4 linked regions of the Struthio camelus genome follow. The protein of the gene in region 1 interacts with the protein of each later gene in a pairwise test. Links are inferred from orthologs where the notes say so. Each region holds a gene or a part of one and is shown in the gene's direction. Other genes may lie near its edges. The genes, in order: EXOC1, KIF5A, TRIO and GOLGA4.

The links.
Region 2: the proteins of EXOC1 (region 1) and KIF5A interact in a two-hybrid assay, tested with the Homo sapiens proteins (2 studies listed by BioGRID and IntAct). The link is inferred for Struthio camelus from reciprocal best matches to the Homo sapiens genes EXOC1 and KIF5A.
Region 3: the proteins of EXOC1 (region 1) and TRIO interact in a two-hybrid assay, tested with the Homo sapiens proteins (2 studies listed by BioGRID and IntAct). The link is inferred for Struthio camelus from reciprocal best matches to the Homo sapiens genes EXOC1 and TRIO.
Region 4: the proteins of EXOC1 (region 1) and GOLGA4 interact in binary tests that used the Homo sapiens proteins (3 or more experiments, as listed by UniProt). The link is inferred for Struthio camelus from reciprocal best matches to the Homo sapiens genes EXOC1 and GOLGA4.

The regions. Positions count from the first base shown.
Region 1 is NC_090945.1:56,369,983-56,377,640, reverse strand, and holds the start of EXOC1 (exocyst complex component 1), read left to right. Parts: upstream 1-4,647; 5' UTR 4,648-4,738; exon of another isoform or gene 4,739-4,985; intron 4,986-6,231; 5' UTR 6,232-6,241; coding exon 6,242-6,365; intron 6,366-7,175; coding exon 7,176-7,306; intron 7,307-7,658.
Region 2 is NC_090969.1:2,321,168-2,329,153, reverse strand, and holds the start of KIF5A (kinesin heavy chain), read left to right. Parts: upstream 1-4,969; 5' UTR 4,970-5,172; exon of another isoform or gene 5,173-5,730; 5' UTR 5,731-5,759; coding exon 5,760-5,888; intron 5,889-7,986. Other genes in the region: DCTN2 (dynactin subunit 2), read right to left, coding at 1,888-1,956, 3,339-3,374. UniProt on the Homo sapiens protein: Microtubule-dependent motor required for slow axonal transport of neurofilament proteins (NFH, NFM and NFL). Can induce formation of neurite-like membrane protrusions in non-neuronal cells in a ZFYVE27-dependent manner.
Region 3 is NC_090943.1:82,825,926-82,833,772, forward strand, and holds the start of TRIO (triple functional domain protein), read left to right. Parts: upstream 1-4,840; 5' UTR 4,841-4,911; coding exon 4,912-5,035; intron 5,036-7,847. UniProt on the Homo sapiens protein: Guanine nucleotide exchange factor (GEF) for RHOA and RAC1 GTPases. Involved in coordinating actin remodeling, which is necessary for cell migration and growth. Plays a key role in the regulation of neurite outgrowth and lamellipodia formation.
Region 4 is NC_090943.1:54,286,062-54,293,094, forward strand, and holds the start of GOLGA4 (golgin subfamily A member 4), read left to right. Parts: upstream 1-4,025; 5' UTR 4,026-4,165; coding exon 4,166-4,252; intron 4,253-7,033. UniProt on the Homo sapiens protein: Involved in vesicular trafficking at the Golgi apparatus level. May play a role in delivery of transport vesicles containing GPI-linked proteins from the trans-Golgi network through its interaction with MACF1. Involved in endosome-to-Golgi trafficking.

The DNA.
Region 1 (7,658 bases):
AAACACACTGTGTATTGCTAGGCTGATCTGATTGCACTGTAGAAAGTCTGTGTCCTGAGGTGCGGCAGACTCACTTTGTGGTTAGTATCGCACAGCTGGGGCACATGAGAGAGAGAATATGCTAAATTTTAAATAGAAAAAACTGACAGGCTAGATAGCCAATCTTTGAATTGATTTATCTTTCAAAATTGTTTTCTACATCACATTTCCTGATTTTGGTTATACAGTGTAGTTTGAAAAACAGTATTTTGGGATTCATCTGCTTCTTCTGGAAGACTTCTCCAAAACTGAATAGGGAGAAACTTATAGGAGAGTAAAGGATAATCAGAAATGCTTTTGTAGCATTCCTATAAAAGGTGTCAACTAAATGATGGAGTGCATTCTTACTCAAGACTCTATGTAGACTACATTCAGAATACAGGAATTGCTATCTGCCCTATCTGTGCTCCAGAGAAAAGGAAAAATCTAGCAGCCTGAAAGTAAAGAAGCGTGATAATGAACAAAGACGACTTTTATGCATACTTGGATAAGAGGCAGAGAGAGAAGAGAATCTCTCATAAAAGATGGATGATGCTTTTTGTCCTAAGAAGTATCCTGTATTTTAACTTTTAAACCAGTATCAGAAATAAGAACAGGTGGAAAGAAAAAGGATTTAGGAATATTTTGTTTGTAATACTTACTGATATCATATACATCTCCTTTTTTCTGTACTTAAATGATTCATAAATTTCCTGCAGCTCTGTACTACAAAGAGCACTTAATATCAACATTTAGAGAAGATGGTGCCAAATCAACAAAAAATACACTGGTGATATTACACTGGTATTCATGGATGCAAGATAACATTGCACCAGCTAAGAGCCTCGAGCTTATATTTAAAACAGAAGAATTCTCTTCCTGTATGTTTATCTTTCATTGATAACTAATCTTTTCCTACATTCTATATAAAGAAAATATGGAAAATGAACAGTTACTTCTCATTAAGGCTGGAACTTATGCTTCTGTTCCCTCCTGCCCCCAATCCACAGGTCTAAAACCAGGAAAGCTCAGTCCTGGATCAAAGCAGACTTTTTAAAGCCATTTCTGAAGGGAAACAGACCAGGGCCTGCTCCAGACTGACTTCTCTGTTACTTCAAGTTCTTGTTCTCCTTTGCATACCGGAGTCACACATATACTGACTCATCTCATCCCAAGTATGCCACTACTCTCCTCATACTACTTCTTTCTCTGTCACCTGCCTATTCCCCAATACTTTCAGTTAGTTTCACAGTATAACTGTTGTATCTTCTCCCAGTAAAATGGGAGTGTATCATGTAATTTGTAATATGTAATTTTGGAATATTTTTTCACAAGTTAAGGCTCATATTGGAAGATCGAATCTATGGGAAGCTGAAATAGGAGGAGAGAGAGAATGGCACTGTGCATACTGTAAAATGATCTCATAATGACTGTTTTAACAAGTATAACCACATTTTAGCATTAACCAACTAAATCTTGCTTTTTGCACTGAAGCAGAATGAACAGCTAAAGACAGAAAACAAGGAGGGTTTTGGACTGTTAACAGTAAAAGCTTTATGCAAACCTATCCAATCCTTTATGGCTGCTTTGTCTAGTCTTTATAGATCCAGGCAAAGACAGTTTCATTTTGTGGGTGAACTGAAAAATTACCAAACTGTAACTTCTCTCTTAACCTTGGCCCTCATGAATGATATATTACAGAAGAAGTCTACAGCATGCTGTTTTGTAAGTCAGAAAATAAAAGTACATGCAGCAAGACTGTATTGGTCAGTAACATTTAATGTTTTCAGTCAAGCGGGAAGCTAATAGAATAATGATGAGATCACCATTTTATCTGTTAAAAATCCACATGTATTGGCAACTTAACTATTATAACTTGGAAAATATATTTACTGTTGCTTTGTATTGGTAATGGCCTGGCTAATAGATTTTATCAATCATACCTTAAAGCCACAGTGATGCATTAACGTGACATAAATCATATAGTTCAAGTAATCTGTAATGTTTTCAGTCTTCTCTTAACTCTGCCCGCAGGCCTTCAAAAAAATAGTATATTAATTTATATGAATAATGATAAAAATGAATGAGGTATATTGATCATGTGAAGAACCTCCTTCACAGCAATAATTGAGCTATAAGGTGGTTTCCCACTGAATGCAACGGTGGCTACAAGTAGCTAAGCCCGGTTTTGGGCATCATTTCTCATGGTTATATTCCAAATGCTAGATGTCACAATTAGTCACAGAGTAACTTTTCCCTCTGACTTATCACTGGCATCAAAAACTCTGAATTACTAATGGCACTTTGGGATCGGGGGAGAGCCAAAATATGAGTGCTTTTCATAGAAGAAGTGATATCAATCCTAATGCTGTGGCCAAATTAGAGTTATAATTGTTCCCTTGCAGCTGCAATCAGATATAAAATTCTTTGTCACTTGAAATTCTGAAATACTGCCATGTTACAATGTTAAGAAACTTCCTTCAGTACCAGATATATCTGCATTTCTTTTATGTACACTGTAAAGGTCACACCTTTTTTTGAAATTGAAAATGCATAGCTCCATTAATGGTTAAATTCTCAGGCATTGTGTATGACAGGCAACAAAAAGTGCAGAGTATTAATTACTTAAACTTCATGACTTCATTTTAAAAGTGTTAGGTCATACTAAGCATTTTAAAGACTGTACTGTTTTTTTAGATCTCCACAGAGAAGTTGCGAAATATTCATTTAATGTATCATACACCTAAAAATCCATTTGTGATAAGAACAGTTTAATCAGTTTAAAAAAATGGAGGAGGGAAAGCAGTAAATATGGAACACAGTTGTACCGACTGATTACTTCCTGAAAAGCTGTGGAGAAGGATCCAGACATGCTTAGATCTTACCATCTCAAATACCTTCTGTTTACATTTAAAATTGCATTTAGGATTCAGTGTTATGAAAGTTCATCCCATTTCCAAGAATTTTTCAGTAGAAATCCACCCACAGTTTTAAGAGAAAGAGAAGCAATTCTTGAGTTCTGGCTAGCCTCTAAATTCTATCTATGATAATAAATTAGTGAGCCATTTTTAGTAGATATAATTTTCAAACATTTTAGTTGAAACCTCCTCCACTAGTTTGAGAAGTGCTATGAGAGAGGAGAAGAGCAACTAACTCCCATCCTGTTCCTGCAAGTCAACTGCTGGGGGAAGGGAGATGCTTCATGGTATCTGTAGACAGAGATCCTTGATAAGTCTTCTCTAGCTCATCACAAATTACTACAGGTAATCAGCAAGAAGCAACTATTTAGATAGCAGGTCTCAAAACAATCTGTCCAGAGAGTTGCTAGACAGGGATCTGAGAAAACACTGACCTGTAACAAAGAACGTGCTACTTGTATTTAACCTAATTCATTGATAACATAAACTAGGGTAAGGCTATTCCAAGATGCAACAAGGGTAAGAGGATACATGAAGCGAGGGTTGACAGTCCATGCTAGATATAATAAAGCTAATGTGAATGGAAAGAATAACATCTAGGAGCCTTTTTCCTCCCCTAAAAACATTTATCTCCTAAAAGATGTAGAACTTCTTAATAACTCTGCCACGAGGCCAACTGATGACAAAAGAGACATCAGAAACTAGCTGACATTGTATCAGTTTTGCTTTTGGTGCCATCCATGTTATTTCTCCCAAGATACTACTTAACTATTCAGCTACAAACTCTTTGGGGGACAAGAGTTCAGCCTTCATACTTGCATGTAAAACACCTATCACAGTTAGTAACACAGAGAGATTATGTCTGCATTATTTTTGTTGCTACTTTATGACTTGCAATTACCACAGACAGCTATGTTTTACAAAACAGCTGGCCGAACCTAACAGCTCACTGCTGCTGGAGGGGGCACCTTCCCCCTAGCTCTTCAGCCTCCCAGGAAGCTTTTCAGGTTCTGCTCTCATGAGCTGAAGTAACTCACCTCAGAAGCAGGCACAAACCACCTCAGGGAGATACACCTGGGAACACGGGGAAGGAAGCAGGACCACCTTTTTGCAAGGCAACGAGACACCAGAGAAACACAGGGGCCTCGTGAGAACCTGCCCAACCATTTCCCCTGCCAGAGAGTGGCTACGGAGCTAGAGGGGTTCACCTCAGGCTTAGACATTTAGAGGGCACCCAGGCAACGCCTAAAAGCCACCACGCGATTACAGCCTCAGCCTAGCAATGCCACCTACCCGCTCACTAGGCTTTTATAGCCTAGGCCGGCTGAGCACCGCCCCCGCCAAGCCCCGCCGCGCCACACGCCGCTCCCGCGGGCACCGCCTGAGGAAGGAAGGGGACACGCCCTAACGGCCGCCGCCGGCCCCGCCCTCGCCAGCCCCGCCCCTGGCGCTGCCCGCCCTCCTACTGGCTCGCCCGCCCCTCCCTCTTTCGTTGCCCGCCCCCTTCCCCCCGGCGCCCGGGTGCGTTGCATAACTTCTCCGGTAGGGGGCGCGCGCGCGCACTCGGCCTGGCGCTCTGTGGACTTTCTAGCGTGTAGTCTCGCTGCTAGGCTGGGGGGGGGGGGGGCGGTGCTAGGGTCACGTGAGCGGAGGGGGCCGCGGCGGCGCAGCTCGGCGGCCGTTGGGGGCAGAGCGCGGCGGGGGTGGGGAGGGTCGCGGCCGGAGCCGGAGCCGGAGCCGGAGCCGCCGCGTCCTGAGGCGGAGGCGCTTCCCTTCCCGTCTGGCCCGGCCCGGGGTTTGCGGTGAGAGCGAGGCGGCTCCGGGCGGCTGCTGCCGCTCCTGTTCCCGGAGCGGCACCGACATCCTCTGCCCCTTCCCCCTCGCTAGGTGTGAGGGGCCTGCTCCGGTCCCCGGCGGCCGTGTCCGGGCTGCGGGCGCGGGTGGGGCCGTACCGGAGCGGCGGGCGGGCCGGGGCTGCGCCTGTCTGCCGCCAGCGGCCGCGCAGGGGGTCCGCGTCTCTGCCCGGGGCCCTTTCAGCAAGGCTCGCAGGTGGGAGGCGGCGGGGCTGGTGTCGGACGGGCGGTTTCCAGCCGCGGCTGCGATAAGTGACCCTCCTGAGCGTTCCTCTTACACGAGTGGTCTTTTGTTTGACCGTTGGCTGTGAACGAGCTTCCCCGGAATTTTACAGTTAGGCCGCGCTCTTACATTAGGTTATTACCTGATACGATATACGAGTGTTAAGAGTTTCCTGGTTGCACACGTAGAGAGGCCAAGCAGTGCACATTAAGTAGCCTGGCTGAGTTGCTCTGTTGAATCTCTCCTATATATTTCCTGTCTGTGAGATGATGTCTTTGATAGATTTCATGCAGAAGAGGCTTTAGCATTACCGTATTGAAAAGATTATTCCAGCAATCCCACAAGGGACTTATTGGAGCCTGAATTGGGCTCAGCTCTCTCAAAGCGTTTTTCTGAGGAAGTAGCTTTGTCTCCAGCTTCTTGTATCTACTTCTGTGCTCTGGGATGGCAAGGGTTGTAAGTCATGGATGAAGACTGCAGTAATGTACTTGGTCCTGACTCACAGTGAAGGTTTTGGGGCTGTGACTCAGTGTTGAACTAGTAACAGAAGTTGGACTATATGTCAAGTATCTGATCTTGGGATTGATGTCTCCTCTTTTATAGGAAAGGTGTATTCTGCACAGCTGAGAAACTTTGCTTTAGCAAAAATGTGAGGATCAGTGAGTAGCAGCAGTCAGTCTGAATGTGGTTTAGAGCAATAGGTGAAGTCCTGACCAGAAGAGAAAGGTGATATTTCCAAAATTAGCAGGCTGTTGGTACCTTGTGTGTTCATCTTACACATCTGTTGAAGAATAACTGAAATGACAACCTGAAGCAATTTTGGAAGAAGCTGGACCAAGCATTTGAAAGGAGAGGAAAGGTGTTAGAAAGCCGTTAACGGTGGAATATTACAGTGCCGTAGAGATGTCATATAAACAGCATTTTTCTTGAATATCCTGAACTCTTGAGTGCTTAGCAGTACTGATTTCAGCTTGGTATATTGGCCCTTTTCCCCCAAAGCACTTGGGTTACTAATTGTTAAAATTTATCTTGGACTTATTCCAAAAATAGTTGGACTTCTATCTATATTATGCATGTCTAGATTATGATTCATTAAATTACCTGTAAAATGTATTTTTTAAAAACTGTAGTTGCTATACCTAAACGTATGTTCTTATTGTATGTTTTAGTAGCCTCCTCAGTCTACTTGAATGTAGTATGAATTTTTGAAATTTTTCAGCTGGGAGAAAATGACTGCAATCAAGCATGCTTTACAAAGGGATATTTTCACTCCCAATGATGAACGCCTGTTGAGCATTGTGAATGTATGCAAAGCAGGCAAAAAGAAGAGAAACTGCTTTTTATGTGCCACGGGTATGTCGTAATACCACATGATATTTTTGTTTTCACCCTTTTTATTCACTTGCTTTTTTCTTAGCTTTATGTACAATATTTATTCTCGCTCCTTATAAAACAGATGCTTCCATTTTTAATGGAAAAATTAGTTGTAGCTTATATCTGTTATTGCTTCTATTAAAACAGAAACAAAACCCTTTGCTTTTACTCTCAGATCTTATTGTAACTTGCAAGGAAGGAATCAAAATTATTTGTGTTGGACTGGGTGGGCTTGTGAAGCAGGCCTTGTATGGTGCTTAAAAGGAGATTTAGTAGATCTCTAGACTGATCAGCCTAAACATGATGCAGCAAGGAGTGCTGGTTAGAGTCCAAGACAGAGGGATCTGGAAAGGCACAGGATTTTAACTGAGTCCTAATGTTCCTTTGAGAGCACGTCCTTTATATTACACCTCTTCCAAGAAGGTGCTTTTGTCCAACTTATCAGTAAATTAGCTGACTGGATTTTTTTTTTTTTTATGACGAATCTCAGAAAGCATTTTTAATCAGGCTAGAATCTCCATTGACTTCTTTGTTCCCTCAGTGATGTGGCAGTGCGGCCATAGTTCTGCTGCACCAAAGAAATAGGCATAAATTGGCTTCAGGACTTGAGAAGCTGTGCAGAGCTGCACATCTGGATGACTGAAATTTAAACTGAGCTGTGGGTATTGAGGATGAAACTTGTTTCGAGGGCTCTGTTCTCATCAGATATAAAATAAGCTTAAGTATAGCAGAAACAGATGTTAATGTAGTTTGAGTGTTTCAAAATTGCTCTTATACTTCATTTAACAGTGACAACGGAACGTCCAGTGCAAGTAAACGTGGTAAAAGTGAAAAAGTCTGACAAGGGAGATTTCTACAAAAGACAGACTGCGTGGGCGCTTCGAGATCTTGCTGTGGTTGATGCCAAAGATGCTGTTAAAGTATGTGTAACTTCTTTTAGTGCGAACTCTACTTGGGACACTTTTACTTCCAAGTCAGAGCTAACTTGGCTATTCATTGTCATACAGCTTTGACTGATAATGTGTTAATTTGGGTTTAAGATGATACATGTTTATTGTATTTTCTTCCAGCCTTCCCAAGAATATAACCCTAGTAAACTGAGTCTGAGTAGTGCAGGTATGCTTGAATTGAAATATTCTGAATATCTTCCCAGTTTACTGTGAGCGTCTCTTAGGTTCTGTATAGTACTTGTGCTAAGAACCAGTACTTTTTTTCTGGTTCAAGTCCTGTGTAAATTTTGATTCAAAAGTTTAGTTTCCCTTGAAATGAGTC
Region 2 (7,986 bases), on another chromosome or scaffold:
AGACAACATGATTAAGCCGTACAAGGGGCTTTGGCGAGCCGGGGCCGGGCCGGCAGGCGGCAGGGCTCCCGCAGCAGGCGCGGACGTGCGCCAGCCAAGGCAGCATTGCTAATTCATGCCGGCGGCCGCCGCAGCAGAGCCCACACCCAGCCGCCGGCCTGGCACCCGCCCGGCAGGGACTGCGGCACCCGCGGCTCCCCGGCTCCGGCGTTATCGTCCTCGGGCCCCCACGGCAGCTCTCTGGGCCCAGCCAAGGGGCCCTAAATCCTTTATTTCGTGGGGTAGGACATCACCGCTTCCGGTTTGGAGCAGCCGAAGGGCGAGGCTCCCAGAAGAGGAAACCGGAGGAATTAAAATCCCGGTTAACCCTTTGCCTCCTGCCTACAGCTGGGGCTGCATGGCGGGGAAAACGGGTGCAGGGGAGGCAAGTCACGGACACGGCACCACTGTATCACCGATGGCGACTTCAGAGTATCTGAGGCCTGACTGGTGCTGTTTGGGGTGAAAAGAGCCAATTTCAGTCTGATTTACTGACTGAACCTGCCAGGACATGGGGGTCAGCAGGGATGCATTTGCCTGCAGGTGCCAATTTGCCCTGTCGTGTTTTTTTTACCGCTCAACGGGAGTCCGAGTGCCCAGCGTCCTCCCGCTGCAGCCATCCAGCTCCGACACACAGGGCCCAGGCATGCAGCACGCGGAGCGTCACACCAACCCCTACGTGGCAGGACGGGGCCGAGGCTGCGCTGTCCCGTGTCGTTCCCCCCCCCCCCCCTCAAACACCAGCTGGGCCACGGCGAGAAGCCGGGTCTCGCCCCCCGCGCCGTCGAGGCCTGGCTCCCCCCCACCCCAGCTTGGGAGCACGTGCCGGCGAAGCGGGGCCCAGTGGGCGGGCAGGCAGCAGGAGGGAAAAGGATCTGCAGCGCCAGCTGGGATCCGCGGGGCCGAGGCAAGGAGGCAACGCGAATGGCACGAGGCAGCGGGGCGCCGGGAGGGCGCACGTCACGCACGCGGCAGAGCACCGGGCCGAGCGAGCGTCCCCGGGAGCACACCAAGGTGGGGATCATGGCTCCGTCAGGGTGGCCAGAGCAGTCGTTCCGGCCGGGAGCCGCCTCGGCCAGGAGCGCGGGCGAGCGGGAGCCCTTGCCCTGCCTCCCAGGCAGAGCTGGGAGCCGCCTGGCCGCAACGCAGCCCTGCCTGCGTCCCTCGTGCCATAACACGCAGGGCCTCGAGGACGGGGGCTCGGCAGCCTGAGGACAGAGCCGACCCAGCCCTGCCTGGGCGTCAGCCCCATCTCAGGGACACCACGGTCAGGTCAAGGCTGGCAGCCTCGAGGACGTGGCACGCATCGCTCCCAGAACAGCCACGGCCTGCATGCAACAAACGGGCTGCGGCGCAGGGCTGGGCCGCGGGACCCTACTGCTATTTGGGGCTGTTTTTATGGGGCCTGACCCCCGTCGGCGTGGCCCCTGTTGTCCTCCGCATGCTGCCAGCCTGCGTTTCCCGTGCCCGGCCCCCCAACCAGGCTCACGTCCATTGGCAAAGCCAATGGGGGGGGGGGGGGCGGTTCGCCAGCCCTGCTCGCGCCTGCTGCCCTCAGCTGCGTTACACCGCGTGCAGACCCTGGGGACAAGGACAGGGACAGCCACCCGGCACTGGGCAGGGATTAAGCCCTGCCAGCGCTTCGTGGCCCCCCGAAAACGTTTGCAGTTTGACCAGGGGGTGAGCGTCGCTGGGACGCAGCACCGTGGCGGGGGGACGTGGCGCTGCAGAGGCGTGCGCGGGGACAAGGGCCGTTTCCCGGTCCCGGCGTGCCGGACATCTGCAGGAAGGCGGCACAGGCAGGTTCGCGCGCACCCGCCGCGCGGCACGGCCCCAGCGAGGCCTTACCGCGTCGAACTCGGCCTGGTCGTCCTCGGGCAGGTCACTGGTCTCGTACACGTCCGGTTCGTTCCTGGCCTGGCGATGTAAACGGGCTCCGGTGAAACCGGGTGGTGGCGCGGGGCCGGCCCTGGGGGGTCAGGTCACCCTCGCAGCACCCACAACCACCCAGCCCAGCACCCCAGTAACATCACTCTCACCATCAAAGATGCCCACAATCCCCTCAGCGCTCCCTACCGTTACCCCCACACCTCAAATCCCCCCACAAAACACCCTCAGGTGCCCCCTCAACCATGGACACCCCCCTGCGGTTACCCTCCCCCACATACCCTCAGTCTTCCCAAATATTCCTGATCCCTCTTAGACACCCCCGGCACCTCCCTAACACCCCAGTTACTGTGCCAGGTTCCTCCGATCCCCCCTGGACAGGTCTGCTCCCCTTCAACAGTCCCAAGTGCCCTCTTTCTCCCCAAATGCCCCAGTTACTGTCCCGGGTTCCCCTGATCCCCTCCAAGTGGGGGGGACTCCCTCAAATACCCCCCCACTTCCTGGCACCTCCAATCTCCCCAAATGCCCCATCTACCCCTCCAGCCACCTCCCATTCCTCCGAGGCACCCCCTAATCCCCTCAGCTACCCCCCAGCCATCCTCGATCCCCCCCAGCCACCCTTGATCCCCTCAGGCCCCCCCCAAAAGCCTCAGACACCCTCAATTTCCCCCCCAGGCACCTGGATCCACCCCAGACACCCCCGATCCCCTCAGCTACCTCCAAAAAGCCCCAGGCCCCCTCCATCCCCTCAATGACCCCCCAGACCCTCCCGATCCCCCCCCCAGGCCTCCTCCATCCCCTCAATGACCCCCCAGACCCCCCGATCCCCCCCCAGGCCTCCTCCATCCCCTCAATGACCCCCCAGACCCCCCGATCCCCCCCCCAGGCCTCCTCCATCCCCTCAATGACCACCCAGACCCTCCCGATCCCCCCCCCAGGCCTTCTCCATCCCCTCAATGACCACCCAGACCCTCCCGATCCCCCCCCCAGGCCTCCTCCATCCCCTCAATGACCACCCAGACCCCCCGATCCCCCCCCAGGCCTCCTCCATCCCCTCAATGACCCCCCAGACCCCCCGATCCCCCCCAGGCCTCCTCCATCCCCTCAGTTACCCCCTAGACACCCCCGATGCCCCCCCAGGCCTCCTCCATCCCCTCAATGACCCCCCAGACCCCCCGATCCCCCCCCAGGCCTCCTCCATCCCCTCAATGACCCCCCAGACCCCCCGATCCCCCCCCAGGCCTCCTCCATCCCCTCAATGACCCCCCAGACCCCCCGATCCCCCCCCAGGCCTCCTCCATCCCCTCAATGACCCCCCAGACTCCCCGATCCCCCCCCAGGCCCCCTCATCCCCTCAGTTACCCCCCCCCGCCCGGCCCGGCCCGGCCCGGCCCGGCCCGGCCCGCACTCACGATGCCGGGCAGGTCGGCGTACTTGGGGTCGGCCATGGCCGGGCCGGGGCCGGGGCCGGTACCGGTACCGGGTCGGGCCGGGCGGCGGCGGCGGCGGGGCGGGGCCGGGCGGGACTGAACGAGTCTCGCGAGAGCTGCCGGCGCGGGGCACGCTGGGAAACGGAGTGCTGGGGGGGCGGGGGGCGGGGGGCGGGGGCCGCTCTCCGCGCGCCCCCTTCCCTCCCTGCGCGCGGGGGTGGGGGCGGGTGCACCCGGGGTGGGGGAACACGTAGGGGTGCAGGGGGGGGGTGGGTGCACATGGTGGGGTGCACACTGGGGGTGCACATGAGGGGGGTTCACTGGGGGTGCACAGGGGTGTGGGTGCACCCCGGGGGTGCACGCTGGGGGTGCAGAGGGGTGTGGGTGCACATGGGGGGTGCACACTGGGGGTGCCCTGCGGGGTGGATGCACCCCACAGGGTGCATGCTGGGATGTGCACGGAGGGTTGCACATGGCGGGGTGCACAGTGGGGGTGCCCTGGGGTGTGGGTGCCCCTCGGAGGGTGCATGCTGGGAGGTGCACAGAGAGTTGCACATGGGCAGGGTGCACGCTGGGGGTGCAGAGGGGTGTGGGTGCACATGGGGAGATGCACAGGGGGTTGCACAGTCGGGGTGCAGAGGGGTGGGGGTGCACATGGGTGTGAGTGCACACTAGTGTCAGAGTGCACAGGGTGAGTGTGCGCGGGTGTGCGTGTGCAAAGGCGGGGGTGGGCGCCCACACAAGAGCGTAGGAGCGGCCCCCCGGGTGGGCACATTCCAGGGTGAGTGCCCACTGCCGGGAGTGCACACAGGGCACCGCTGATGTGGGGCGTGAAAGCGCATGAGGTGGGGGTGAGTGCACACTCCTCTGAGTGTGAGTGCCCCCCCCCGTAAGGTGTGTGCAGGCGCTGCCTGCGGGTGTTTGTGGGTCCCTGGGGGTGAGGGGAGGGGTGCTGCAGCCATGAGCTGTCCCTGCATTGCCCCCCAGCTGGACGCCCAAGGCCCGGACGGGCCACCAAGGACACGAGCGTGCCAGGCCTCAGCTCTGGGCTAGGCCCTGCCAAGTGCCCGGAGGAGGCTGGGGGAGGGGGGGGCCGTGAGTCAGGACTCCTGGGTCCCCGGGGCTGGGGGGAGGGGAGCTGATGCCCTGCCGGGGGGGGGGGGGCAGGCAGAGAAAGGGGGGGGGACCAGCCCTGCAGCCAGCCCCGGGGGTAAATGCCCTTGAGGCTGCGGCTGGGCCAGTGCTGCCTTTGGGCTGGGGTCCTGGCCCCCTCCCTCTGTGGGGTCAAGGCCCCCCCGGGTGTCCTGCCCCCCTCCTCCAAACACTGGGAAAGGGACCCAGGCATCCTAACCCCCCCCCCAGCCTCTTCCCCAGCTGAGAGAAGGACCCAGGCGTCCTAGCCCCCCCCCTTTGATGAATCAGCAGTTTGGGGAGGGCAGGTGGCAAGGCTGGGGCTGCCCTTGCTGGGGGAAGGGAATACACTCGGGGGGGGGGGGGGAACCCTCGCCCCCCTTCCCCATTCCGGCTCCGTCCACCTTAAGGGCCGCGGGCGGCTCCACCTTAACGGGGGGGGGGGGGCGTGCGCGGGGGGGCCCGGCCTCCCCCTCCTGGTACCGGGGCTGCGGCGGCGCCGCGGTCACTGGAGCACGGGGCAGCAGCGAGCACCGGCCGCCGCCCGCACCCGCCGCCGGGCCCTGGGTCGCATCCTGAACTGCTGGGTACCACTCGCATCCCCGGCTACCACCCTGCATCCTTGGGTACCACCCGCATCCCCGGGTACCACCCTGCATCCTTGGGCAGCATCCTGCATCCTTGGGTACCGCCCTGCACCGCTCGGTCGCATCCTGCATCCTTAGGCGCTGCCCGATCCCTAAGGAGCATTCTGCATCTCTGGGTCGCATCCTGCACCCCTGGGTCGCATCCTGCCTCCTTGGGTGCTGCCTGACCCCTAGGGAGCATCCCACATCTCTGGGTCACATCCTGCATCCTTGGGTACCACCCGCATCCCTGGGCAGCATCCTGCATCCCTGGGTCGCATCCTGCACCGCTGGGTACCACCTGCTTCCCTAGGTACCATCCACATCCCTGGGTCGTATCCTGCATCCTTGGGTACCACCCTGCATCCGTGGGTGCTGCCTGACCCCTAGGTAGCATCCCGCATCCCCGGGTGCCACCCCACACCCCTGGGTACCACGCGGCCCCTGGGCAGCATCCTGCACTCCCAGGTGGCACCCCACACCCTTGGGTAGCCCCCAGCACCCCTGGGCACTACCTGCATCCCCGGGTACCACCTGCATCCCAGGGGCGCTCCCAGCATCCCTGGGCAGCACCCCACACCTTTGGGTAGCACCCACCTCTTGAGACCCCCCCTCAGTCCTCCGGGACCCCCCGGCACCCTCCAGCATGGTGGAGCCCAGCACCGAGTGCAGCATCAAGGTGCTGTGCCGGTTCCGGCCGCTGAACCAGGCCGAGATCCTGCGGGGGGACAAGTTCCTGCCCGTCTTCCAGGGTGACGACAGCGTCGTGGTGGGGGTGAGTGTGAGGAGGGGGACAGTGACCCCAGATCCCCCCAGTGGGGCAGAGGGGGACCCGGCCCACCCAGCTGTGGTGGGATTGGGGGGGGAATAGGCAGCCGGGGGGGTACTTGAAGGGGCAATAGGCAGCTGGGAGGGGGATTTGGGAGGGGATAGGCAGCCGGAGGGGTACTTGGGGGGGGGCAGTAGGCAGTTGAGGGGGGATATGGGGGAAAATAGTCAACTGGGGGGGTACTTGGGGGGAATAGGCAGCCAGGGGGGATTTGGGGGGGCCATAGCCAGTCGAGGGGGTGCCTGGGGGAGGATAGGCAGCAGAGGCATGGATTGGGGGGGGTTAGGCAGCTGAGGGGGGGGATTGGGGGGAAATAGCCAGCCAGTGGGGTACCTGTGGGGGGGAATAAGGAGGGGGAATCGCCCTGGGTGTGGTCAGCAGCGAGGGGACCCAGAGCACGATGGGACGCAGCCTCCTCGTAGCTCCCCCCAGGGCGTTTCCCCCCCCCTCCCCGCAGCACCCCTCATTCCCCTTCTGAGGGCTCTGGGTGCCCCCAGTCCCCCCAGTCTGTCCCAGTGCCCCCCGAGGCGGGGCAGCTGTTTACAGCGAGTGGAGACACCCAGATGCCCCGGGGTTGGGGGGGGGTGTCAGTGCTTCAGCACCCCGGCAGGATCGGGCCCGGGGGGGGGGGGCAGTTTGCCGCAGATCCTCCCTGCAGCACGGCCCTGCCCGGCCCTTTGTTAGGCTCTACCAGCCCCCCCACCCCGGTACCGGGGGGGGGGGGGGAGCTGCTGGAACCGGAGCTGGGAACCCCCTATAATAGGGCCTGGTGCACCGGGGGGGGGGGTTCCTGTTCGGGGGGGCTCCTCGGCCCAGCCGGCCTGGCCCCCCCCAGCCCCGGCATGGGGGGGGGCAGGGGGTTCCCCCGGAGGGGACAGGGGGATCCTGGGGGTTGTGTAGCTCTGCGGCTGTGTCATGTGGGGGTGCAGCTGTGTTGGGTGTTGTCGCACAAGGTGTTGCAGTGCCACGCGGCTGTGTCGGGTCGGGGCAGTGCGGGGCGTTGTGTCGGTGCACAGCTGTGCCGGTGCATTGCAGGGTGTTGTGTGATTGTGTGCCGTTGAAGCTGTGTGTCGCAGTGGTGGCTGTGCCAGTGCAGGGTGGAGTGTAGCGGTGCGGGGTGTCGGGTTTGGGTGCGGTTGTGTCAGCGCGGGGTGTTGCGTGGCTGTGTGCGGCGGGGTCTGCGTGTTGCTGCGCTGGTTGTGTTGCGCGACTGTGCGGCGCAGGGCGGCTGCGTGTTGCTGCGTTGGTTGCGTCGTGCCTGTGCCTCGCCGGCTGTGTTGTGTCGCTGGGCGTGCGGTGCAGGCTGTGTGCGGCTGTGCTGGGGGTGGCTGTGCGGGGCTGTGCGGCTGTGCTGGGGGTGGTTGTGCGGTTGTGCGGCTGGGCCCCGTGCGTTGTGTGTCCCCCGGGCGGCGGCGGTTCAGCACCGGGGCCTGGACAGCTCCCGCGGCCGGCGGGGGAGGGGGCGGTTGGGGGGCGTTTGGAGGGGTGTATGGGGGTATTGGAGGGGTCTGAGAGGATGATTAGGGGGTGTATGGAGGGTCTGGGGGGGTTGAGGAGTATATGGGGGGCTGGGGGTGCTCTAGGGCATGTATGGGGGGGGACTGGAGGTGTCCAAGGGGGTCTATGGGGGTCTGGGGGTATTTGAGGGGGTGTAGGAGGATCTAGGGATGTTTGGGATGTGCATGGGGGGCTGGGAGTGTCCAAGGAGGTGTATGGGGGGGTCTAGGGTTTTCTAGGGGGATGTATGGGGGCTGGGGGTGTTTATGGTTTCTGGGGGGGGGTCTGAGGGGGTAGAAATATACAGGGGCATGGGTCCTTGTGGGAGCATTTGGGGGGCCTGAGGGTATATGGGAGGCTGAGACTGTATAAGGGCGGGTGTGAGGTCTGGAAGTATATGGGGAACTGAGTGTGCCTGAGGGAGTATATGGGGGGCTGGGGGTGCATGACAGCTAATATGAGGGAGCTGAGGGGTATAGAGGTCCTGGGAGTGTATGGGAGGTGTATGGGAGGCTTGAGAGTGTTTGGAGGACTGGGGGTGTATGGG
Region 3 (7,847 bases), on another chromosome or scaffold:
AACATAGAATTAGGATTATCTAACTGTAAAAAGAAAAATAAACACTTTATTAGGCTGAGGTTAGTCAACAGATGGCTTATAAGCCACCAGTAGTCTACAAAACATCAGATGGTTGATGTAATTTCTACATATAATAGAAGTATCCTTGACATTGACAAGCCAGTACATGCCATGCAGCAGAAGTGGGAGCGGGATTTTTATAGAGCTAGCACATCTCTGAAATGGTGAGAATTAGAAAAACTGTGGTTCAGTTATAAATAAAATCAGGAGGGTTAACATTTTCAGTAAATGACATGCAAAAACACACAAGGTGGTCTGCAGCTTATTAAAAAACTCCGTGGTTCTTTGCTTAAGACTTGACAACCATGAGCATATGAGCAGGAAAGCTTTAGTTGTAGTGACCATCAAACACTGACCGTATGCAGTTTTTGACTTAATTGTACTGAACTTCTCCTTGCAGGTGCTTAGCAGGAGTTATCTGTGAAATGTATGTGTTGGCGGGTGGCAGCGGTGCCGTTCCAAGTTTGTAAGGGGATGTCAGAATGTGAAAGGTCTCACTGGTGGAAGCAGGTGGAAAATATTTTCAAGGTCACTGGCAATATTTTACATATGTGAGAGGTAGTTCACACCATCTGCTATCAGCTACTAAACATTTAACTGCTACTCAAACAGTAGAAAAACTAATGAAGAGGCAAAGGCAGAAGTTTCAAAAGCTGATGGAACTCACCACATAATGAGATGGGAACCTGATTCGATAGCATAGGGAAATGGAGCATGCAGACATAGTACTGTGGAAGACAACTACAGTGCATTTTCAAAAAGACATGGATGTTTCTGCAAAAAAGGGGAAGACAATAACGATAACTTGGAAAATGCCTCAGTGTTACTCTACAGATAAGAGAGATATCTTGTACTTGGAGAAGTGAGAATAATTTGAAATTGACAAATGTTGCTATAACACCAGCACTATTTAGATTAGAATCTGATAGCAACTGGGAGGTGGTACGCATTAATAACTTGGGTTGCTTTTCTTAACTGCTGCAATCTTAAAAGAAGCCTTGTCATCTAAAAAGCACAGTAGCAGCTGCTCTGGCCTTCTCTACTGGCTTCTACAAGTGCTTCTGCCCTGTTTTATAGATTCATTTGAAATCCCCTGAAAGCCTGCTGCAGAAAAATAACATTTGTAAGAAACAGTTCTTGTAGGCTGGCTACATTGAAGGGAAGTCCACATACCTTTTTCATTAAAGAGCTGTCCATGTGAAAGTCTTGTCCCCACACTATCTTTCATGTTCTAAGGTTTTGTTTGTGAAATAAAACAGTCAAGCATGGGAACAAGTATGAGAAATGAACTCTATAGTAAAAACACATTTTTTTCACAACTGAAGGGTTTTCTTGTTCAGAGCAGGGAGACGACTCTGACTGACCACGAAGGTCAGTATCATCCTGTGCCTGATAGCTTGCCCACACTAATGAGTTTCTAGGTTACTTCTTCTGAAAACTCATAAATATCAGTGATTTTAAATGAAATTGTTGCCCTGTTTTCTTTAATATCTTACAGAAATGGGGCAATTTTTTTTTTTTCGCTTCACCAAGTGGACTGCAAATGGTGCAGGAAAAGAACTTGAGCAATATCCAACTTGCATGTTACTTTAGGGATGAAAGATGATGTGACCCATGACACTTTCCAACCTGGATACAGAGAGCCAGGCACTGCGCAAGCTTCTTCCCTCACAAGAGACCTCTTCACCAGCAACAAGGATGTCTGTGCGATGATATACTGATTTTAGAGCAACCATTCAACCTGACTAAGACAAAATACAAGGAAAAATAAAGACCGTTCAAAGGATAAAACACTTAGGGCATTTCTTTTTCTCAGGCTTAAATCTCATTGAACAATCTGCTTATACAAAGTAAAATGTTTATATATATTTTGAGTAGCTATCTAAATTAAGCATGATTTCAACATCTTTGTTTTTTAAAAATCCTTCTGTGCAATTTAAAGACACTTGTAATTTGAAGCTCAGCCTTGGCAGCACTGATGTTTAGCAGGTCTCAGCACCCTTAAAATATCTTTTATATGAAGAAGAATATTCTTTCCTTTCCTGCATTTACCATTGCAATTGGTGCAAAACCATTTGCACGTTGACAAACATTCAGACAAGTAAAGTGGAAGTTGAAGAGTATGACCGCTCCCTAATGCCAGGTTGCAAAAGTAGGCAAGCTTACACAACTTTTCAATTGAACTTTTTTTCAGTTTTCAATATGCAGCGTTCTGCACACAGACAATTCATATCTTGGCTTTTTTTGTTGCGTTTCAAGCCTGAAATGATCAAGAAGAAATGGACTAAGAAACTTGATTCCCTAAAATTTAAATGTTAAACCCGGTATCTGAGATCTAAGGTGGATATCTGTGAAGGAAATCCTTATTTTGTTACAATGCATTAAGTAATTGGTCATAATGTGATGTTTCTGTCTTAATGTATTTCCTGTAACCTATCCTTCAACAAATGTTGGATCATCAACCTTAGAGCGCACACAACTGTATTGCTATAATCCTTTTGAACATTGCAAAGGATATGAGCAATATTTGGTTGCTGAAAGTCCGTAAGGATCATCTTTGCCACAGGTAAATAACTTGCGGCTGATCAGTCTCAGCCAAAGGACAGAACTAAATCCTATGAGGTGGAAATCACTTCAGATTCTTTCAGTTTCACAGTGGTGAGAGGGTCTGTTAGTGGGGGACATGATTCATGGTTCCTGCGTGTTCATGAAAGACAAAACCAGTATCTCCTGCAGATGAAGGAAATATGAGAAGGGACAAAATTTCAGTCATATAGCCTTCAAAATTGTTTAAATGAACCTTGGCTTTTTAGCACCCACTGGCAAACTGTACCGTATGCAGGGTGAGCAACTTGGTGGAAACAAATGGTCACTATCTTATCTTCAATAGCTAAGGTACAGAACAGTCTCCCAAAGCTAACATTGGCACAATCGGCCTCAAATGACAGTGAACTTCACACTATTGATCTTGCTCCTGTTTCTACAATCATTACTACTTAATTTCCACTGCTGTACCTAATTCAAATTCTGAAACAAATCATCTCAAGCACTCCTTGCTCTGCAGCCTCTGACAGCTCAGTTTGTTGAGATTCCAGGAGATTACTTTTTCTTTACTAATTACATTAGCTAGTATCCTTAACTTACCCCATTCTTTCATATTGTCCTGCAGTTTCTTCTGTGTTGATGTACAACATCCTACTCCTACTTCCAGGTCAACTTATTGCTCGCTGAGGAACAGCGGCATTTGTTCCAGTTGTTTTTTTGCTCACTGGATGCTGCTAGGCCAGCCAGAAAGGAATTCACCCTGCAACCACTTCTGCCAGCAGGGTGCCAATTTGGGACTCTCTCCCAGGCCCACTGCCTCAAAGAAAGACGTTTTTCAAACTTCTTTTCAGTCAAAACTAATCTCTCCTCTATAAGAGAAATTAGGGCAAGGGTAGTTGCACAAAAGCTTTTTCATCAAGCTGTACGACTTGAGCTAAACACCAACCTTGGGAAAAGGACGTCTGCGTCGCCCAACTGTGATAAATTAATGCAATACCACATTTCTCTTGAAGTTACCTTTGCTTTTAAGACTTATCAAAGGTTCAGGAGGTTAATTCTTGGAGCTACGCTTCTGCTTTGCAAGTGTGCTAACAAGCTACGTTTCTGACACCAGCATTTGAGCTCTGTTACTCAGTTTTATCAGTCTGTGCAACTGCTAAACTGCCTTCCCCACCTGCCTCTCTTCCACCTTACCGGCCCTCCGCCTTATTCCGGCAGTCTAAGGGGGCTGCGCGGGGGCGCGCCCCCACCAAGCGCAGCCCCAGCACCTGACTGAGCTGGCCGTCACGAGCTGCCCGCTCCCGTTGCGTTCCCTGGACCGGGCCGCGATACAGAACTCCTCAGAGCTGCCCTAAGATCACTGAGCAAAAATCAATAAATAAATACGTAGTTACAGTACCGACAGCGAGGTAATGGATTGCTTCAACGCCTTTAAAGTACTCGACGAGCTCGACCTCCTCACAACCTCATTTTCACAGCTCGGCTGCCGTGCAGGAGCGGCGCGAGATAAAAACAAAGAGTAAATAAATAAAAAACCCCCACGGCGCGGTCGCGCCCCCGGTGGGCGCCGGGCAGCAGCCGGCCACGCCCCCGCCCCCGCCGGCTCTGCGCCCCGCCCCCTCGGCCGCGCCCCTCACCTTCGGCCGCGCCCAGCCAATGGGAAGCGGGCTCGGCGGGAGGGCTGACGCGCTGCACCGCCCCCTCCCGAGCAGCGCCGGACGCAGCCGGAGACGCCCGAGCTCCCCCCGCCTCCCCCCCGGTTCCTCGGGCGGGGCCTCGCTTCCTTTCCCCGCTATCCCCTTCCCACTCTCTTCCCGGGCAAGATGGAGGACGGCGGTTGCTGCGGCCACCAGCGCCGCCGCGCCTAGCGCAGCTGCCGCTCCTCCAGCTCGCTCTCTCGGAAGAAGGCTGCAGGCGTCCCTGCTCTCGCCTCCCGCCGGCTCCGCGCCGCGCCGCTCGCCGGCCCTCCCCATGCCGTCGTCGTCCTGCTGCTGCTGCGATTGTCTGCGCCCCGGCTGCCGCCCGCCCGCAGGCGCTGCCGCGGTGCCTGCGCACGCCGCCGCCGCCGCCGCCTAGGTGGCTGCGGGGGGGCGCTCCCGGGGCTGCCATTCCGCGCATACCTCCATGTCCCTGCGCTCGCCGCGGCCGCCAGCCGCCGCCCCCGCCCGAAGGAGGTGAAGCCGCCCCCCGCGGAGCAGAGCCCGGTGCGCCCGGCCCGCGCCGCCGGCCGCGGAGGAGCCGTGAGCGGGGCGGCGCGGTGGGGGCGCTGCTTGGGGGTCTCGCCCTCCGCCTCCGCACGCAGCAGCCATGAGCAGCGCCGCCGCCACCGCCGCCTCCAGCGCCGCCGCCACCACGGCCGGCAGCGGCGCGGGGGAAGGGGCCGAGGAGGCGGCCAAGGACTCGGCGGACATAGCGGCGTTTTTCCGATCCGGTGAGTGCGGCCCCTTCCCCGGGGAGGGGGAAAGGGGCCGCGGCCAGGCCCGGGCTGGAGGCGGTGGCGAGGCGACACCTCCCTCCCCCGAGAGAGGGCAGCCGGCTTTGTCAGGTGGCCCCGGGGACGGGAGGCTGGGGTGGGGGGGGATGTCTGCCTTCCCTCCCCTGGCCGGCGGCGGCTGCCCGGAGCGGGCGGGCGGGCGGGCGCCCCTGAGCGGCCTCGGCTGTGTCCGTCTGCCCCGAGCGCTGCCGCTGCACGGAGGGGCCCGGGGGGGGGGGCAGCGCCCCTTCGCCTTGGGCCCGGCAGCTCGCGGGCGTCGCGCTGGGAGAGGCGAGGCGTTAACGGCCGCGCGCGGGGGTGGGGTGGGGGGGCGGGCCCCCGCTGGCAGGTGCGTTAACGGCTGCGGGCGGGGCGGGCCCCTGCTGGCGGGCGCGTTAACGGCCGCCGCGGGTGTCGTACGGCGGCGCTTGGGGCAGGCGGGGTGTCTCTAAAACCGGGGGGGGGAGAGGGAGGTGCGGCCCTGGCCCGCCGAGGGCGGGAGGCAGAGGCCGTCCCTCGCGTGAGCGGGGCAGGGGGAGCTGGGCCGCGGCGCCGGCCGGGGCTTCCCAGCGGGTTGCGAGATGACACTGCTATAAAAGGCAACGCGCGGCCCGTCACGCCGCGCCGGGGCCGCGTTGCCGGTGGCGATCGAGGACGGGGGTGGGAGAGGGAAGCGTTCAAAACGGGTATTTATAGCGCGAAGGGAAGAAGGAGGCGTGTGTGGTTTTTTTTTTTTTTGGGGGGGGGGGGAAGAAGCGCTAAGGGATTTCCCTGCCTCCGTGAAGGAGGAGCAGCAGCAGCGGGCGCCGGGCTGGTGCGGTTCGCGTGCTCCTGGCTGTGCTGCCGAGCTGGAAAGTCTGGCTTGGCTTTGGAGAGACTAGGGAGGGGTGGGGGGGGATGGAGCCTGCTGACAGCCTGCCGGGATTAAAAAATGGAGGCCGCCTCCTCGGTCGGTGTTTCCCCTCGGTACGCCGCCGTCCTAAGGGGGACGGGGTCGCCGGCGGCGGTGGCGGCGGCTGCCCGTCCTCCCTCCCTCCCATCCCCTCCCGTCCCCTCTCGTCCCCGGCGACCGCACGGCACCCCCGGCCGGTGCACCCGGGCGGGGCAGCAGGGCCGGGCTAGGCACCGACTCCGTTTGGATGCCTAAAAAGGAGCGGGCCAGGAAGGAAAATGCAGACTCACCGCTGGGAAGAGGAAGGGGGTGGCCAGTTTGGTGTGTAAAATAAATCAAAATACCCCCCCTCGCCCGTGTTAATTGCGTTTCTAAGGAAAGTCAGAAGCGGTGTAATTGGTGCTGCTCACAATCCATGCTTGTTGTTGGATCTGCCTGGTTTAAGGCAGATGAGGGAAGAGGTGTGATCTGCAGTAGGCATCACTGAAGCGAGGGTGCTCAAGGCATGAGTGTGGACAGACGGTCTGAATGGTGAGTTAAGACTCCTATGGAGTGTCTGTGATGCTCCCTCCGAAACCTGTTTCGCGTGGCGGTGATGAGTGCAAAACTTGTCGAATTGAGAGAGAGGCTGGCCTCAGTGGATTTCATCGTGGAAAATCCATTTGTTCATTCTCAGCAGAAAGAATCATGTTGAAAGCAAAATGATGGATGCCAGTACTAGGCTTACAGTCTGCCTAGCATGGTTACAAGTAGGTACACATTGTCTGGTAATCCTGTGGTTTTGAAGGTCCTGCCGGCGGTATTAATAGTTGGCTTCCACATTTGCGTGTGGGTAGAGGGATAACACAGACTCAATTAGCTCGTGAGCTGTGCAGCAAGGATTTCTGATGCAGATGATTTTCGATAACAATGAAGTTGCATTAACTCAGTCTTGCAGTAACTGAAAATCTCAAAGCAGTAGAAAGACATGTCAAACGCTTATTGAAAACCTCTTAGAGTGTATTTAACAACTATGGCATTCTCATTTCTGTGCCTGTAGGGGTTACCTCGTTCAGCCTGGGCTGTGACATACCCTGGAAAATGTTCTAGCTTCTCCACTGGGATTTGGTAGTGGGGAAAGCTCCTTACGTTCTGTCTCCGTTCTCTAAGTCATGATCCATTCTTCTGTGGTCCATTGAGTGATGTTGGTGCTTCCCTTTGTTTGGATAGGAGGTATCTTTTTTTCACTTTGAAACACAGAAGGGAGTGTTTTGAAGCAACAAAGTGCGGATGGACATAGCGATCAATGAACAGGCAGAAAGCTTAGTTTGGTGTACGTGAGTACAGACAAAATATTTTTCTCTTTACAGTATTTATGATGACGAATGCTTCCTTTTTCCTGTCATTTGCAGAGAGTGTCAGCAATCTGTAGCTGTTACTTAAAAGAGAAAATGAACAAAAACATTATGGTGTTTTCCAGGAGGAAAATTAAAATCCTGGACAACTGGTCCGTTGCACTGCCAGTGGGATTATTGGGTTTCCTGCTGTCCTTTTGTAAGACTAAGGCCGAGGTAAAGTTAGAGCAGCCTAACAAATGGAGTTTTGTTATTTGGCAGATATTTTGTTGGAGTGTTTGGTCAGCTGCTAGGTTCACATCACTTGAAATGTATACGTTTCCAGTCTCTATTTTGGTTATGTAAATGTAAAGTCACTCTGAGTTGTTGTGTAAAGAAGTTGTGGTTGAAATTCTAAGAGAGGTTCCAGAAGAAAGAAGCTAAACTGGAAGTGAGGTGTAGTGTGAAAACCTAATGTACTGTGAATTTGAATGAGGAATACCTTTACAGGAATTGGAGGAAAGTGAGGCAGTGTACTGTGTTATCTAGTTGATATCTAAATATT
Region 4 (7,033 bases), on another chromosome or scaffold:
CAGTTAAGCACATTGCTCGACAAAGACCATACATTCCTGAGCAACCTGAAATAAGAACTCTGGCATCGTAAACCTATCTAGCTTCTAGCTGCCTCTGTCTCTCTTGCAACAGCTCATGTACGCACGGAACTCAGCACAGTAAGCAGAAAATTATTTGCTCTTTTGTCAGGTTAGTTTTCTGCAGACTCAACACACTGAAACGGCGGAGGGAAAGGTCTGACAAGCACTGTAGCTGGCACAATGCAAGGAATAGGACTGTAGGGATGTGTGGACCACTGTCACTGTCACTAACAATTAGAGCAGTTTAGACTGCTATTAAAACACAGTCTTTTACATTAATGCTCTACTCGCATTCCCATGGAGGTATATTAACAACTGCCACAAATTTATGTGGGAAATGAACTTCCCCCTTGGTAACCTACCATAACCAGTACATGCTAGCAGAAGCGTATTTTTATCCTTCACAGACAATACAAATGTCAAATAATGGTCGTTTGGCATATGGTGTAACTAAGGAAGATAAAAAAAAAAAAGAGGAGCAAATCTTCATTTTCAATTACTACTTTCTCACTTCACATAGAAGCCTACTAAAATCAAATGAACTTTCTGCAGATAAAGTACTATCCAGCTATGTAAGGGATTTTGACACCCAACAGAGGGAAGGAAAACTGGTTATGGTTACAGACAATTCCTCCAGAACGATGGAGTTTGGAGTAATTGGTTTGTATATTGTAATAAAACTTGCTCAGGAATTACAGAATTTAAAGCCTTTTTAGAAGACTTATGATTGTATCTTGCAAAGTTAGCAAAAGTATCTTCAGAATTTGTATACTGTTGCTTAATGTGAGATATCGCTTTATATTATCTAAGCGGCGCTAAGACACGTAGCTGCGCATCACAAAACACAATTTTGTACCAGCTCAAAAGTAAAAAAATTCATTCCTTGTCCATGATCTTTATGAAATGCCACCAGCTTATATATGATAAAATGATACGTACAAATATTACTTCACCTCTTCCTGAAACCCAGTTTAAGCAGCTTTGGGGAACAGGAGATGACTACGCCTACTGGAATTTAAACAATAAAACACCGTGCTGTTGTGAAAAATCCTCTGGAAAATGTCTAATTGCCATGTGATTACCATGTTGAGTTAGTAGCATTACAACTCATGAACCGAGTTCCAATTAATCAATCATCTTACATTTTCTATAATGTAGTTAGTAGGATTTTTAGTATAGGAGAAAACTTATCTTTTATTATAGTCCCTAGTCTCATTCTTTGCTCCATAGCTTTCAATCCTATGAGAAACACGCTTCATAATAAACATAACACACGAACTACCTCAAGCTTTAGATTTTCCAAAGAAATAATATAGCGCTCCTTCTTTTGCGACGGATACATATTATGAAGGAATGAAGAAACCTATATAAATAGGGGGAAAAAACATTAAAGAGAAAAAAAAATAACAGAAGTAAGGAAAGGCAGTGGCAGCTGTAATGGAAGACATGAGAGAAACAGAGAAAAGAAGAAAGACTGCTTACCACATTGATATCTCAACAGATAATCCACCAGGATAATGCTCTGCAAGAGAAGAGGCAGCTGCAAGCTCTGCTTTTTCATCTGATAGCTGCAGGAGCTACTTTCCTTTCAATACACATCTAATCAACAAATTCAGATTTGCATTTAGTGACTTAGATTTTAAATGAGTGTACTTACAGATGCTGAAGGCGAGAAGAGAACGTGTGTGCTCAAGATAGAGTAGCAGACATGAGAAAAATCACAGATTTATTAGGACACCCAAGGGTGTAGTCCTAAGAGGGTTTCCCAGAGCATTCCTCAGGCTAGCAAGTGAGAGAGGCATTGCCTTACTGCTGCATGCAATATTTAGAGAAAATTGACTGAAGTAAAATTGACGGAATTTATGCTTTTTTATGAGCTGCAGTAAGCTTAATTGTCCACTTTTTCTCATTTCTTTGCAGATTGCTATTCAGCGAAGAATAGCAATATTTTTGCCCTCCTAGTCCTGGAGACTCTTTCCTATACCTCTGTTTCCAAGCCCACCTATAGAAAAGAGAATATAAAAATCTTCAAAATACATACATGACTATTGTGGCTTGTAGGTTCAGACTAGCTTCTGGAAAGGTGGTTCAAACCAACAGATAGCCATTCCTAACAAGAAATCAATGGACTGCACAACACTGCTGCCATCCAAAGTTTTCATAGTAGTCCTAAGAGGAAGATCCCTACCAGCCTCCTAGTTTATCTGCAGCTAAACAGACCACTGAAAAATTATTTTTTTTTAATACATGTAGCAAAAATTAAGAAAAACTTACTGCAGTTTGTTTGTTGCAGCATTTCTTGCTTACTTTTTCATTCAGTGTTCAGCAAACAATATCCATTTGTAACAGAGTCCATGTTTACTTGTATAAATAACATACCTCAGGTTTACAAATAGAATAGTACTCACAAGTTTTCAGGACAAACCAAAAACATGACTTAATTATAAGCAGATAAATTTTTAATAAAATACAAAAGCAACTTTCGAGCATGCTTTAGTCACAAACTTTCACAAGCCACAATTGGCACATTGCAAAAGTGCATGAAGCTATCGCTAATCACCACGGATTGACAGTGTCATGCAAGGGCTTATACACTCCTATGACTAACATTCTGGCAAGTCAGCTCATTGCATTATTTCACCATACCCCCTCAAGATGAAAAGGATTGCTTTGTAATGGTTTATCCACCCATCCGGAGAACAGCCATTACGGAAGAAAATAGGGGAAAAAAAAAAAAAAACAGCACAGAGCTGAATCATCTTCCACTTCCTTAACGTGGAATTAGCTGCATTTTTTTTCCTAGTATGTTTTTAGCTACAGAAACGAACAGATTAACCCTAACAGCACAGTACAGCACGAAGGCTTGGGCGGACCTTTTCCCTTTTCGACTTTACAACGCACAGGAGCTGCAGTAAGCTGAAGAGCCACGACGATGGGCTCGCTGCCTATGGTCAGCTACTGCAGAGCAGACCAACGGCGCGGGGCGGCTCGCTCCTGCACCCCTGCCCCACGCGGAGTCAAGTGGTCAGAAAACTACTTTCAGACCTCGACCATCAACAAAATAACATTGCCGCGCATTGTTGGCTATCGGTTCTTTCTTTTAAGGAGATGCTGAGGTTACTGCTTTAGTTCCCGTGACAACAGAAACGCCGAGACGCCACTGGGTGCTACCGCGGTTTAAGGATCGCGCTGATGATGAGGTTTAACCCATGACGTTAAGTGGTTTCTGTGGCCCCTAGGACAACGAGCAGCAGTGGAAAGGGAAGTAACCCGGCACAGACGTGGCTTTCCTTGTTGCCAACACCCTGCTTTTTTCCACCTTCCTGACGGACAGAGGTAGCGGACTGCCCCTCCTCCCGGCGGCGGAGGATTAACGCTTGGTGGCCGGGAAGCGCGAGAACAACCAGACCGATAACCGCGATTCGCTGAAATCGGTGGTGCCTGCTGCAGTAACGGAAACGGGAAAGGCCGGAGGGGGAAAGGCGCCGAGGAGATGCGGGCACGTCGGAGCCGGCCGGCCGGCCGGCCTTCCCCCTCCGTGCCGCGGCCCCCGCCCCGCCGCAGGCCGCCCGGGCAGGAGGCAGTTGGGGGGCGGGTGCCGGTACAGGCGGTTGGCGCCGGATACCCACCCGGGGCGGGGCGGGGCAGGCCGGGCCGCCTACCCCTTCGCCCGGGCTGCCTCGGCGGCCGCCGTGAGGGAGGCGGAGCGGCACGGCGCGGCGCCGCCTCGCCTCGCCTCACCGCGGTGCCCCGCGCGCCAGCCCCGGCCGGGCTCGGCCTCCGCCTCGCGGGGCGGGACACGGCCGGCCCCGGCCCCGGGGAGCGGGGCGGGGGGGAAACGACAGGGAATCCCTCCGGGAAGTTTGTGCCTCGCTGCGTGCCGTACCGTCCCGTCCAGCCCGCTCAGCTCCACGTTGGCTGCGCAGGCGCAGTAGCCGCGGCGTTCACCTGCTCCGAGTGGGGTGTTGGGGGCGGGGTGGGGGGGGAACGGGGACCCAGGAAGGAGACTCGGTGGCGGCGGCTCCTCGGGGAGCAGAGCGGGAGGCGCGAGAGCGTGGGTGCAGGGCGGTAGCACCCTGCTCCCCTCCCCGCTGCCGCCGCCACCATGTTCAAGAAGCTGAAGCAGAAGATCAGCGAGGAGCAGGCGCCGCCGCGGGGCGCGGCCGGGCGCGCGGCCCCCCACCCGCCGCAGGTACCGCGCGCCGCGCCGGGCCCCGCCCCCTCCCGCGCGCCGGGGCGAGGGGCGACGGGCGGGGGAGGGAGGCGCGCGCGCGCGCGCCTCCGAGCCGTTGGGGGGGGGGGGGGCACCCGCGAGGCGGCGCGCGCCGTGGTTGCCGTTGAGGGGCGGCAGGTGCTGGGGCGGGGGGGGAGGAGGGTGGCGCAGGCTGTGGCCGAGGCGGCCGGCTGGGAGGCGGAGTGCGGTCCTGCCCCGGCCGGGACGGTGACAGGGCCTGTGCCGGTGGTCCCTGAGCCTCCCCCGCCCCTCGGCGGCCGGCTGAGAGAGCGGGAAGGGTGGAGGGCACGGCGGCACGGCTCGCTGTCGGCATGGCGTGCTCGGGGCCTAACCCCAAACGCGAGTTGCGTTGTTACCCAGCTGCCTTGTGTCTCTGAAGGCTGGAGAACTGTTCCCTCCCATAGGCCGCTCCACAGAGGTTGTCTTTTGGGGAATTAAAAAAAAAAAAAAAAAAAACCTCTTGCTTAAAAACACCAAACAGAATTGAACAGAAGTGGGTTTTTTATTTTTTGTTTTTTAAGCAGTTAAAGGAGTAACATTTTAGTACGCATTGGATAACCATCCAGCATGGAGATCACGGGATCATCTTTGATCCACCACCCCTTAGAGCGTATTGCACTACTAGCTGCCTCTAGAGGAGCTAAGTTTCATGACACAAAAAAATAACCAAGTAATAGAGTGGGTTACTTCTATTCGATTGCTTTTTGGTCCCTGATGAAATTTGATAAATGAAGTCATTGGTAGCTATTTAAAAATAATGTAAGACCCTCGTGAAGTCAAACTTGCAGCTTCAGAGATTTATCTTCCTCTCTACTTAATGTCTGTTCTTTCAACTCCTGTAAATCCCTTCTGTTACCATAAATTAGAGGGCTGTTTTGCTTATTTTAACCTTATACTTTTTTAAACGTAGAAAAGCTGAGATCAAGGCATCTTTTTTTTAGTGATAATTTAATTGATCATTTTTCTCCTGTATGTATTTACATACAAGTGCAATTAGTGTTGGCGTCTAGAAAACTGCAGTTCTTAAGTGACAGTATTACACATGTAGATTTGCTGAGGTTACGAAGCCTAACTGTGAGAGTGACAATGGCCAAAAAACGTAGTCACTTGATGCAATGTGTTGAAGCAGAATAAACTTGTTATATCAGATTAAATTTGGTAGAAGAACTTGCCAAGTTAACTCTCTACTGGCGCACTTGATGTTGCATCAGGTATTGTCTGCCTGCATGTCTCTGGCTTCTTGCTGGGTTAAGCGTCTTTTGCCTTTCTGAAACCAATGTAAAAACATAAAACTGGCATAAACTCTGTATCTTGTGAATGGCAGTCTATAGGCAGACAGTCTGCCTAATTTGACAGAGATGGTTGGTTGCCTAGGTGTGATCCGGATGTAATTTGAACCAGCTGGTGAGTGTGCATTGCACAGTCCTAGTATGAGATCATAGTTTCAAAATTGCTGATATCAGCTACTTAACTAATAGTTTAAAAATTGCTCGTTTATCAAATTGGGGTAGTATCTTTGGCAAAGGAGTAGAACTTTTGTGAAGTTTTATGTAGCTTATCTTTTTTATTTTTAAATCATTTCACAGCTATCAACTCTGAATCTTTTCTAACATCTATAGCTTGGTCAGTGGCAGCTTAGAGCAACGTACTGAATGGGCATGTGTGGTGGGTTTTTAGTGCAGCATAAAGAGATTTAACTGCAAAATTATAATATTATTGATGCACTGCAGCTTAATCATGTATCTTTGACACAGTATTGTAACTCACTTAGTCCAGAACATGCAGTTCATTTGTCAGAGGATCAGTACTTACTAAAAACCAGCCTTATGGATAAACTTGGGCTTGAGTAAGTGTTATTGTCACGCACATACTCAGCAGCCTTTATTTATCTATCAAAAACATCACTGGGAGCTATTATGAAATCTTATTAGAGCTTATGATAAATGATATTTTCGTCTGTTTCTCTATACTATTGATAGAGTAGATCAGATCAATGTTTGGTGTGAATTGAAAGGTAGAAACAGAAAATGTTAACAAATTTTTATTTTATTTAAAGTATTTATCTGGCAATGTTGCTTATTCTTAAAATGATCTCAAATATCAGTACTTGAAAAATTGAGTTAAGCTTGATCTTAAAACTAAAGGATTAATCTGCTCATTCTTCAAATGTCACAAGAAAACAGATAGTGTAAGTGAGGAAGGACAGAGAAGGTACTGAAGGGCCTGTAAAATGTATTGGATTCTCGCAGAGAGTATGGAATAAACTTTTGGCCCCTTGCTTTTAGTAATTTACATGCTTACATAAGCTGCACTCCGTTTATTGGGTACTCTGTGTTCATTTTATAGATTATCAGTCACTTTTTATCAAGGCATTTTCAAACAAAAATAAAAATATTCACCATTTCTTAATATTAAAATGCTTTTGTTTATATTCACTTTTGTTCTTTTCCTTCCTATACCCTATTGCAGGGAGTCTTTCTCTGAACTCTCTGTACTGCTTATTCTGTCTTGTATATGTTTGTGTGTGTGTGCGTGTGTGTATCTATTTTTTTAATCTATCCTGGTATTTTTTTCCCACTGCTTCTCCTACCATACTCTATCTGCTTTATGCATGTCCTCTCCCCTAGGACATAAACTTGTTATTTATACGCTGGGTTATGATTGTCTGAGACTAAATCCACCAGCCTGCACCCAATTAAATCCAGAAGTAACATTTATCCAAGGGTAATACTAAGGTGA